Linked DNA regions of Drosophila melanogaster. The protein of the gene in region 2 interacts with the protein of the main gene of each other region in a pairwise test. Each region holds a gene or a part of one and is shown on either strand. Other genes may lie near its edges. The genes, in order: CG13675, Cln7 and stas.

Region 1 (3,755 bases), 820 kb from region 2:
AAATATTAAAAAATTAAAATTTTGATTTTTAATTCCATATAAAAACAGTTTATTATTGCATATTTTGGTAAAAATATTTTGTTTCCTATTTCAATCGATCAATTATGCATATTATTAATTTTTCCCATTAATGCCAATCGAGTTCGTTGCCTAAGTCTTTCGTTTATCAGGCGCTAATGAACGAAAATTTCGCACTAAGCGCTACAATTAAATGGAGTCGCTATGAAGTTAGCCAAGTGGTATCACAAATAAGCCGAAATTTGCACCAATTTTTCGCAGCTTTGCGACAGAGCCAGGCAAACATCAACAAACCGCGAAAGCAAAACAAAAGCCGACCGCGCTTTTTTTTGTGTATGTTGTCCAATAAAAAAATCCCCCGCACTCATGAATGAGAGAATAACTGCGATTTGAAGAGCCGACCAGCCGAGCGAGGCATCAATAGACACGATGATTTAGTTTTTCCAGCCTCGTCTCTGTGGCGATGATGTTGCTCTTTGGTAACTCCACCGATGACGAAGTGGATTTAGCCGATGGCAGCCTCGCTCATCTGCAGAGAGTCCAACGAGCCAGCGCTCTGCTCTTGAGTATAAAACTAAAATTGATGCGAATTTTTTTACAACTTTTGCATCAACTTCAAACGCGGCAACACGTGCAGAGCCCCAGAGCTTGCTCCTCCGTTCGAAACGAAGTGAGTCCCCGATTCTTGAAGATACGATCCGAAACGATATACGGCTCCATCGGATCTGTAATAAATTGCGGCGTGTGTTTTATTAGCGCGGCAAAGTGCGTGGCATTCAAACGGTGCTGAGAGTTGAGCAATCAATTACGAAAATTAGTTCCCAGATGCTCAGTGAACATTAAGCAAACGACAAAACATCCTTAAGAACGGATTAACACTATCAGCTATAGTAGTTGAAAGGATAAGGAACTTTAATTAAATATGGTTTAATAATTCAAAAAAGGAAGTGCACCTGAACATAAAAAACATAAAAAGATTATTTAAGAAATGACATTTATAGGTTTAGGAACCTTCATAGGAAGTTTATATAACGATTGCACTTTGAATATCTAGTGGATTTAGTACTCTTTTAACAAAAGATCTATGTTGAAGACCAAAATGTTCAGTAAATATTAGATACTTGTTAATTATAACTTAACATAAAAAAATAAATATATTTCACATCAAAACTAAGTTTCTATTACATTTTTAACAATGCCAAAAGGTAAAGAGATTGAAAAGATAGCCACTTTATGTTAATCTATATAAAACGTGTACTGAAATAACCAAATTACGACGAACAATGTGTTCAACAAGAATCCAATGCAATATCGTTAGCCCAGACTTAAACGATCCGAGTTATTATCAATTAAGATCCATTAGAAGCACACAATCCGCGGGCACAAAAAGTGAATGCAACCGGCAGCAGCTGCAACATCGCCGCCAGCAATACTCGATTGTCCATTAGCCATTGCGGTTGCCTCCCCTCGGCTGACTATAGTAAACATTTAGATATAAAATCTAATTATATGCCGCATAAACCAAGAAAGAGAAGATGTTTCCTTTCTAAAATTCCGACAAAAATTATGCTGCGCGCTGAAAATTAATATCAACAACCCACTCGACTCGTTTTCTTTCAATTTTCGTTTTGTATCTTTTAGATAGGAAAAAAATCACATTTAAATTACGGATTACGGATAACCAAAAAAAAAAAAAACATTACAACAAAAAAAAAACATATACAAAAAGCAGCAGACATCATGGCAGCCACAACAACAGCAGCGAACAAATCACCGCAGCAGCAGCAACACAGACGGCAGCAGCATCTTCAGTGGAGCGCCTGCATTATGATAGTCGTGTTCGGACTGTTTTCGATGCTGGCCGGGAACTGTGTCAATGGGGTAAGTGGAGTCGTCTTCTTCCCGATCCCAAAATCTGAAATCCGCAATCCGAAAGAGCAAAACGCCACTAAGCCCACTATGCCTTTTCAATCGTTTTTATGGTCCGCAATCATGGAAAATAGCTATTTTTCCATGGGCCTTTTATGAGCTTGGGAAATGGCTTATTGAATAATTTTGCCAACATTGAATTGACAACTTCATTGGCCGCGTCTGTTCCCATTTGTCCGCATCGTTGCTGTATCAACATGAGCAACTGCAGCACACAAAAAAGTGTCATCTGAGATAATTTCCTACATTCATTCCGAGTAAAAAGATTGCGCACACCATTTGTCTCTTGTTTGATAGGGATCTTAACCAGCAACAACAACGGCACGCCAGCAACAGCAAACTCCCACGCAAAGTTGCAGCCACGGCAACAGCAGCAGGAACAGCAACAACAGCAACACTAGCAACACCAGCAACAATTACAATTGTTGCCTCTTAAGCCCAAAAAAAAACGCTTGCGGCCCCTTTCACCCTTCTGGCCATCTTCTTTTCATGCAGCATGCCATTTTGCAAGACGAGGCCAAACAGCCAGAAGAAGTTGCAGAAGATTCGGGGCTGCCAAGGGGGAAGAGTGGCTAACACACGATGCAGACAACCTGTCTGCCAAAGTGTTAGACAACTTCTCACGTCTTAGCCAGAAACACACAGAGAAAAAGTGAACCCAAAGCTGCCTGAAAACAGGGGACGCCTCTTTCTAAAAAGGTGTCGTCATGAGTTTTTGCTTCCCTAATTTAACTACACTAACTATGGGACTAAGGAGGAACTAAAGTATATAACACCTTCAGCTTATCTTCTTGTTAGATCTACTATCAAACAATTTAAATAGTTTTTAGCAATTAGATTTATTCCTTTAATTAGTTGAAATGACAAATTTTGAAGTCCATCATAGTTAGGCGTAGTTAGCTTATACAAGTAAAAAGGGGAAACAACATTCGCTTTTCACCATTTGAGGCATTCTCCGCTGTGTTACATTATCAATTAGCCTTGGTGGCCCCTCAGCCGCGCGCTCGTCAAACAGAAATAAAAGGAAAATGCAGGGAAAATTAACCATTTTCCGGCTGTAACTGCCGTGGCCCATCTCGGCTGGCTTAGCGGCTTGGTATTTAAAGGAAAATGGTCTGGTCTCTGGCCAAAGGTTGAGAGTGGAGGGAAATAATTGATGGTGTGCGGGGCTTTTGTCGAGAGTGGCATCTTGTCCGCTTTTTGGGTTAGTAAGGCAATGGGCGGTCCATATAGTTTGTTGTTTAAGTCTTTTGTTGCCGCTGGAAATGCTAAAAGCCCCTGGAAAGTTATTAGCGTGAAAATTGCAAGTGATTGAGAAAAGTTAAGACGAAAAACGAGGCAGCTCGAATTTGCAATGCAATCGAAATGGGACTGGAGTGGAAGGTGCATCCTGGTTGCAATTGCACTCTGGAAAATAAGTGTTTGCTTGTTTAATAAGGTTTTTGTTGATGTAAATTTTTCTAAAGAAGATAGCAAAAATGGTAACGACTTCATTTGGTATTTTTTAACCAGGTGACTGAAAATATAACAACAATTACTTTTAAGTTAAAAATTTTGCACATAAAGCAATAACTATTTCGCCTTAAAGCTGCATAAGATCCTTGATTAAGATGTTTGCGAATTGGCCATAAAGTCCCAAACTTTTCCCATGAAGAAACCTCCTTGTGCTCGGCCATTTTCCCACCCCATCAATGTGCTGCACATTGCCAATCACTTTGCCCTGTCCCAACGTATTCAATTAGCATAAACTCAGCATTAACCCAAATAGACAAGCGCCAACGGCGGCAACTTTAACCCCCTGAAAAGGG
Region 2 (3,755 bases):
ACAACCAAACCGCCATCGACATTGGCCACATCCACGAAAGCTAGTCGCAATGTGAATCCCCTGACGGAGTCGAAGCTCGAGAAGAATTGCAAGGCGCTGTGTGAGCATTGCGGCTGTTTGGGCTTCTACTGCGGCGAGGAGTGCCTGTGCGAGTGTAATGACGACCAATCCGATACTGAGTGCATTCGCACCATGCAGATGAATGCCAAGACGTTGAATCTACCATTCGAAATCGTCATCCAGGGACCGAGCAGCAATCGCTTTGTGCGCAACGCACAGCAGTTCGAGCAGAAGCGAGATCTGGTGGCCAGGAGCGCCAGCACTTCAATGCAGTCGCCTCGAAATCGTCGCTCAAACATAACCATCTACAAGCCCTCCACAAAGTTGGTCATTCAACGTACGGCCAATGGCTTAGAAACGCCATCCAAGGCTTCGGAGCAGATAAGGCACAAGAGGTCCGTCGATCACCTGGAGTGGTTCAATGACTTTGCCAGTTCCTTGGTGCGTCCCTCGCCACTGGGCACTAGAGCCCAGAAGCAGCAGCGTGCATCAGCCAAGCCATCGGCATTCAAGCGTCAGGCTGAGCTGGAGGAGCCGGCTCGTCGGGAACCATGGTTCCTGGAGCAGTCAGCTTCGCGACTGACTCGCCCCGCTCCACTTAAGAAGGATGCACTCTCGCGGAAGAACAAGAAGAGTCCTTTGTTCCGAAAGAGCGCCAAGAGCAAGGCGTCCAAGGAGCAGTCGCGCAAGCAACCGGAGCGAGAGATTCGGCCACTCCGCGATGCCTTGCAGGTGGTGGAGCGGATACCCAAGGTGCTTCAAGATACGGTCAGTCATCTGTCCTCCGATCCACGCACTGGGGATGTCTTTAGCCTGAATATTAGAAACGAGGATGTGCCGCAGAAAAAGGATCGCCAGCCTGAGGATCGTGTGCCACGCAGGCCTAGCGCCACCTTCCGTGGTTTCCGGCGCAATGAGATCATCCCCGAAGCCGTCACCCTGGCTGCCCCAATGGACCTTGCCCCACGAGCTCCACTTCCCGGCCAGCGTCCAGGTGGACTCCTGCTGCCCTGGCTGAGGCAGCGGCGACTGATGCGTTTGCAGCAGGCACAGGGAAATCTGTAGACCCAACATACCCAATTTACTTTCACTTTTATTATTATAATCATTTGTTGTATATTTATAAGGCATTTTGGTCTCTCAAAAATAAATATAAATTTGCACATTATAGTGTTCTGCAGTAGCAGCGAAGATAGAAGCGTTCGAAATTAAAGTATCTGAAGTAGTAAGATCTTTATGTACCTGTAACAATATGAAGGCGTTCTTAAAGATCGTTTTCCAATGAGTCATTATAGTATTCACACACGCAGGTAGAAGTTTGGTAGGTTAGACAGGTTTCTATAGAACTCCATTCTTCAGTTTCCCTATTATTTCAATTGGATCTCGAATCGAATCTCAAAGATACATCTATTCTACTGATGATCTAGTATAATAATGATAATTTGAAGAAGGAGTATTGGTGTTACATGGATTGTGGATTGATAACAAGTTACTATACTATGCTTAGGAATATTTTGCCTGAATAGAAAACCCTTGCGATCTATCTTACAGATGCCATAGATTTCGGAGTATCTAAGTAGCATACTTTCGGGCGCGGGTGCTATCTGCCGTTGGCTCCTCTCTCTCTTCGGGCAGCTCCATCACGCTCTGTGGCGACGCGTCGTCCGATTTGTTGGCAACAGGCGCTGCCGCGTCAGTTCAGTTCAGTCCGTCGCGTTCGTTCATCTCCAGTGGTCGTCGCTGTTCCGCTGCAACAGGTAGTTAAAAAGACATAGCCCGATTGGTAAAAGGTGCATTACCCGCTGGAAGCCCCACAAATAGGATGCGCGCGGTAGGGGGGTGCCCTTGAGTTCTAGATGCACAGAAAGATACATGCACGCAGATACAGATACAGATACAGATATAGCCATTGGCAGAGGGAGAAAAGCGCTTTCTTTGCGTTTGGTTAAATATTACAAAAATCGAGTGAGAGGAAGCGGGAGAGCGAGAGTGAGACAAAGAAAGAGTAATTTAAAAAAAAACAAAGAGTGCATGTTTCCATTTAATTTACATAGTTTTGCTTCAGTGTGTGACGAAAAACAAAATACAACTTAGTAAGCTAAGTAATTTGAAAATCAAAGCAAGGAGTGCAAAGGCAAAGTAGCTTAACGAAAAAAACAATAGGCAGCCAAAGATCAACGGTCGCTATCTCATATCTAGTATCTTGTATCTGAAAGATGTGTGTGTGTGTGTTTGGGTACTTCGAGAACGAGAATCTGGCGCTCAACTAAAAAAAAAAAGAAAAAAAAAAAACCAACTGCATCAATTGGCAATTGGTATAATCAATTAGAAATTGATTTGCGACGGAGTGATCTTCAACCAGTGATGATTTGATTGATGTAGGAAGTGGACAAGTCTGATTGATATGGCTAATCGCTGCACTTGTTGCACTATCGAAAACTAAAGTTATAACAAAATGTTTTTATTTCGTACCCTGTACTGGGGCGAATCAATTTCTTTTGCTCTGATAAATGAAATCATGTAATAAACTGACGTTCTGTACGAACCTTATCATGCCATATAAACAAAAACAATGGCATACTCACAGTGATAGTGGCTCTTACTAAAGAAAAACGACATACAGACACCCGCACATGGCAACGAATAACTACAAACAGCTTTATTTCGGCACCGATTGCCTTTATCTTCCGCAATTTGTGTGATAAGTTCAGCAAACTGTTTTCCATATCTGTGGTTTTTTCGGAGGAGGATAATCACGCGACGTCTGGCAGATAATCCACTCCATCCATATTCAAGTAATTGAAGGCACCGCCGATTAGAGACATACTCTACTCTGAATCATTAATAGTTACAAGACTTTAAAAGCGTGTCTAACAACTGACACATCGATTCACAAAAAGCTCCATAAAGAAAAAAAAAACTCATTCGAATCCATTTACAGAATGACTCAGTGGCGGTGAAATCCAGCAAACACACATCCATCGCAGCCAACCAACCCATCAAACATCACAGCCAAGCAAACCAATTATGGAGTTTGCCCGCCGAGTTTCCGCTCGCTTTGAAACCAAAAGACTGCCGGAGGATGTGGACGATGGCCTGGAGACGCTGGAGGAGTACAAGCAGCGCTGGCGCTCCGTCCGCATCATCTACTTTACGATGTTTCTGATGGCGCTTGGCTTCAGCATCATACTCACAGGCATTTGGCCCTACCTCAACAAGGTGCGTACCCATTTTGGTCACGCTATCCAGCTGCTTTTCAATCTCATCTCTCTTCAGCTAGATCCCGATGCGGGCAAGGAGTTTATGGGACTGATTGTGGCCGCCAATCCGCTGGGACAAATGATCTTCAGTCCGATCTTTGGGTGGTGGGGCAACAAGCTGGGCAAGATTCGTCTGCCACTGCTGCTATCGCTGTCTCTATTCACGCTGGCCAGTGGCATATACTCCTCGCTGGAACTGCGTCCGGACAATGTGAAGTACTGGATGCTCTCCTCGCGGTTCCTCATCGGTGTCAGCTCGGCGAATATTGCCCTGTGCCGCTCCTATTTGTCCGCTGCGACACGAATCAGCGAACGCACACATGCCGTTGCAATGGTTTCGCTGGCACAGGTCCTTGGATTCATCATTGGTCCAACTCTGCAGGCGGCAGTCACACCGCTGGGAGATCAGGGACACGTCTGGCTGTGGGGCAAGAT
Region 3 (3,755 bases), on a different chromosome or scaffold from region 2:
TCTTAAATGGAAGCAAACTCACGATATACAGATAAGTGTTTTTATAATGCCGTAAAAGGTATCATGATTTGGTTACTATTTCAATTACTTTATAATCACTGTATGCCAATGCAGTGAAAAGGCACGAACACAAAAAAGAACAACAAAATAGATAAGTAAAATTTCACAGCATTATCAATAAGAATAATGGGTCTGCCAAGGGACTTTGAAAAAGATTAGAGGGATCTGCACTTATAGTTTTCAACACGTTACGTTTGCTGATCAAATTTGACAAAAAAAAAACAAAGATTGTTCTCTGACTTGCTGATTCCATGCAAATCAAATTCTGATGAATTCAAATTGATAGAAGTATATGTACACAAACGTCTTGAACTTTAAACAAAATAAGTTTACTCACTCACAGAACCAGACTATCAAATAACAATCCGCTTTAGGTAAAGTTTAAAGATAATAATAATCGTGTGCAGAAAGTTTTTCTTATGCAAAGCGTGACATTTGAGTTAAGTTACTTATTTAACATGGCTGTTATAGTAAATATTTGGACAATTAAATGGCCCTTTTCTCACTACATACAAATAGTTATGTCTGATCTAGCCAATAATAAGTATTTGCAATAAGAGTTTTACATCCTACAAATGTAATATCTATGATATTTAAACATAAAATATTGTTTTAGAAGCGAAATGGAGATAACTAGCATTAGGTAAATGACTACCTAGCATATCTAATCATAGTTGGATGTAGCCTAGCTATTTTAAGCGGATCATTGGTCGACATCTCTGCTCGCAAATCAAGCGAGACAAGCTAAGCATACACACACACACACATGGAGGCCACTTAACACCTTACAGGTGCACGAATGCGCAGGGGACACACATTTGTGGCGCTTTAGCACCAGAAAGACCCACTTACGCGTTGAGCTCGGGGAATATGGCGTACACATAGCACATGGTGACCAAGCTGGCCACAAAAATGCCCGCTACGATGACCAGGGACTTCTTGGTGGCCTTCTTCTCGTCTGCGGACATGGCCTGCTTTTGCGGAGTGGCCTGTTGTTGTTGCTGCTGCTGCTGTTGTTGCTGTGGATTAAGATCTTGTTGCTCCTGTGGCGGCACCTGTGGCAACAGTGGAGTAGCCACCTGATCCGGGGAGTGTTCCTGGAGCGCCTTTGCCCTGCCATTGCGCATTGTAATCCCCTCGTCAGCGGAAATGGCTAGAAAAAAAAAACAGAGACATGCAGATGTAATATGCATTCCAAAGCAGAAGTGGTGGTGGTGAACAGAATGCACGGACTAAGGGTTAATAGTCGTTTTTGGCTTCACGGGCTGCGCACTAGCTGCGGGTTAATCACCGTTCCTTCGCTCAGCTGATAAGTAAAAACAACTAAAACAGCACACTCACCCACACCACTGCAGTAAGACATTGTGGCTTTGACACGATGTACGTAAGCCCGAGTTGAAGAAGGAAAATTTAATAAGCCTTCTATATCCGATTTTAATTCACGATTGACTCATTTAGCGTCTAGGCTATTTATCAATTGTTAATGCTATTTGTGTGCCTATTTGCGCGCCAGTCACAATTTGTTGTTCTTCTCTCTATCCGCGTGCCTATGCGTATGTGTATGTGCGTGTGTCTACAACAATGAATTTAATCAATATAAAAAAAATAGGAAGTTGGCTAAAACTGCGTTAACTAGAGTAATTGTAGTTGACTACTGCGCTAATAGCAATTTTTTTAAATTTTTTCTATTGCTTTTCACTTTAGCCGACTTTTTCGGCGAACGATCACGCTTAAAAGTCAATTTAAAATAAATTAATTTCAGAAATTTCCGTCACGACCAGTGTGGCCGAAGGCGCAGTGTTGATTAAGTCCAAGCGTGTACACAGCTACCGCACAAAACTGAACGTGGGTTTCTAATAAAATCTGGTCATACTGTCATATTTAGCGCCACTTTTTAGTTTCTCTAAATTTTATTTATATTTTTTAATGTTATACGTAAATAAAAAAATGTGAGTGTCTGCATAAGCAAGTGAAGTACTTTTTTTGTATCTATAAATATCAACATAATAGTGCCCTTTTTCTTTTTGCCAAAAGACTCCATATTAATTACCACCTCCATGAAATACTGATAGAAATAGTGGAATTAAACAGTGCACTTTTTATTTTGTATGAAAATAGATTTAATAAAAATCTCATCAATATATTTAACATTCTATAATGAAACTACGACCTTCAGTGGGTAGCAAACGCATTCACGAAACTTAAGGGATTAGGTTAACTTGTTTTCATGTAAAAAAAAAAGTACGTTGGTATCTAGTCTAGAATCTGTTAGGAATCTGCTGTTGTCTTGTTTTTGAGCTGACGGTATAGCTGAACCATTTTGCTGCGCTCGGTTTCAAGCATTGACCTCGTAGCCAAGGGCAGATCTTTCCGCTTGCCCTTCATCTGGGCCTTGGTGGGTGCTTTGAAGGCGCTCTTAGATTGGGCAGCCAGCTTTAGTCGACTGCTGTCGTCGTCCTCCGGCCCACGATTTGACTGACCCTGGTCGGGATTCAGCATGGACTTTAGAAGGAGATTGGCTTTGCGTCCTGGACGCGGCACGGTTTCACTTTTTTCCGCTTTGCGCGGCAGGATTTTGAGGGAAGGTGGGGCATGGACGATCTCACCAAATGCCACAGCATCCTGTTTGAATTCTGTTGGCCCGGCATTCTGCTTCTCCTCGGTATCAACCTCTTGCTGGGCCTCCTTGTAGGCCCTCTTCACCAATTCGCGACTGGTCTTCGCATCCATGGGCTTGTGTACGACTTGAACCTTTTTGCGACCCCTTTTGCCCGCCAGCCGTTGCTCCTTTTGCTTCTGCTTGAGCAGCTCGTCGATCTCGTTTTTCGGCCTCTTTTGGACAGTAATCTCCCCGGTTTTGGGGTTTCTGATCACGTTCACACCATACTTGGCCTCGTAGTGGGCTTCCCGTACGGATGCATTGGTCATGCGATTCACTCGGCGCAGATAATCCTCGTCCGTTTCGTTGGCGAACTGCTTGATGTTACGCGTTTCCTTTGAGGAGGAACTACTGCCAGGCTTGGATCCTGGAGAGGATTTGGGCTTATCCTCCCGTCCAATTTCGCCCAATCTTAGCTTCTTGCCCGATTTGGTGGCGTTGGCAAGCTGCTGAAACTGACGGAACTTAAAGGACACCTGCTGCTCATCCTTTTTCACAGGCGGATTGTTCGTTACTTTGGAAAGTCTGAAATGTGAAATGGTGCAGATATTAGTTTAGCTGCCTTTTTCGACTGACTTGCCACTATGAACAAACTTCTTCTCCTTCTGTTCCAGCTGCTTGAGGGGATCACGGACGCCGTGGTGCTTGCGCACGGGAATCTTTCGTTTCCGAGCCATTTATTTTGGGTTTTGGTTCAATTTTTGTAAAACAAACTCGTGGTATCGACAGCATGGGTTAAAATACTAAGCGCGATGCATGCTGACAAATACCAAAACAAACCATAAATATACCAAATCGATTAAAGCTTGGACTCAAACCATTGGCGCCCAGAATTACAAATGAAATATTAAAGTTAAATATATATTAGATTAAATATATAAATGTATTTTACACTATGTATTGTATTAAGTAGTCTTCATATTCCCCTATTTTATAATATACATTTTTAATAAAGATTTATATGCTGTAATGAGAAAAGTATTTTATTGCAAGTGGTAAAATTTACTGTTTGCAGTAAAATTAAATATTTAAAGTC

The links.
Region 1: the proteins of Cln7 (region 2) and CG13675 interact in a two-hybrid assay, tested with the Drosophila melanogaster proteins (one large-scale study listed by BioGRID).
Region 3: the proteins of Cln7 (region 2) and stas interact in a two-hybrid assay, tested with the Drosophila melanogaster proteins (one large-scale study listed by BioGRID).

The regions. Positions count from the first base shown.
Region 1 is NT_037436.4:8,162,364-8,166,118, reverse strand, and holds the start of CG13675 (uncharacterized protein), read left to right. Parts: upstream 1-1,666; 5' UTR 1,667-1,758; coding exon 1,759-1,899; intron 1,900-3,755.
Region 2 is NT_037436.4:7,343,192-7,346,946, reverse strand, and holds the start of Cln7 (Cln7), read left to right. Parts: upstream 1-1,763; 5' UTR 1,764-1,817; intron 1,818-2,562; exon of another isoform or gene 2,563-2,855; intron 2,856-3,001; 5' UTR 3,002-3,087; coding exon 3,088-3,279; intron 3,280-3,336; coding exon 3,337-3,755. Other genes in the region: CG14834 (uncharacterized protein), read left to right, coding at 1-1,125.
Region 3 is NC_004354.4:17,626,028-17,629,782, forward strand, and holds the start of stas (stasimon), read right to left. Parts: upstream 1,869-3,755; 5' UTR 1,424-1,868; coding exon 1,402-1,423; intron 1,214-1,401; coding exon 913-1,213; intron 1-912. Other genes in the region: CG8326 (uncharacterized protein), read right to left, coding at 2,329-3,244, 3,314-3,396. UniProt on the Drosophila melanogaster protein: Required in cholinergic neurons, but not in motor neurons, for normal neurotransmitter release by motor neurons. Involved in muscle growth.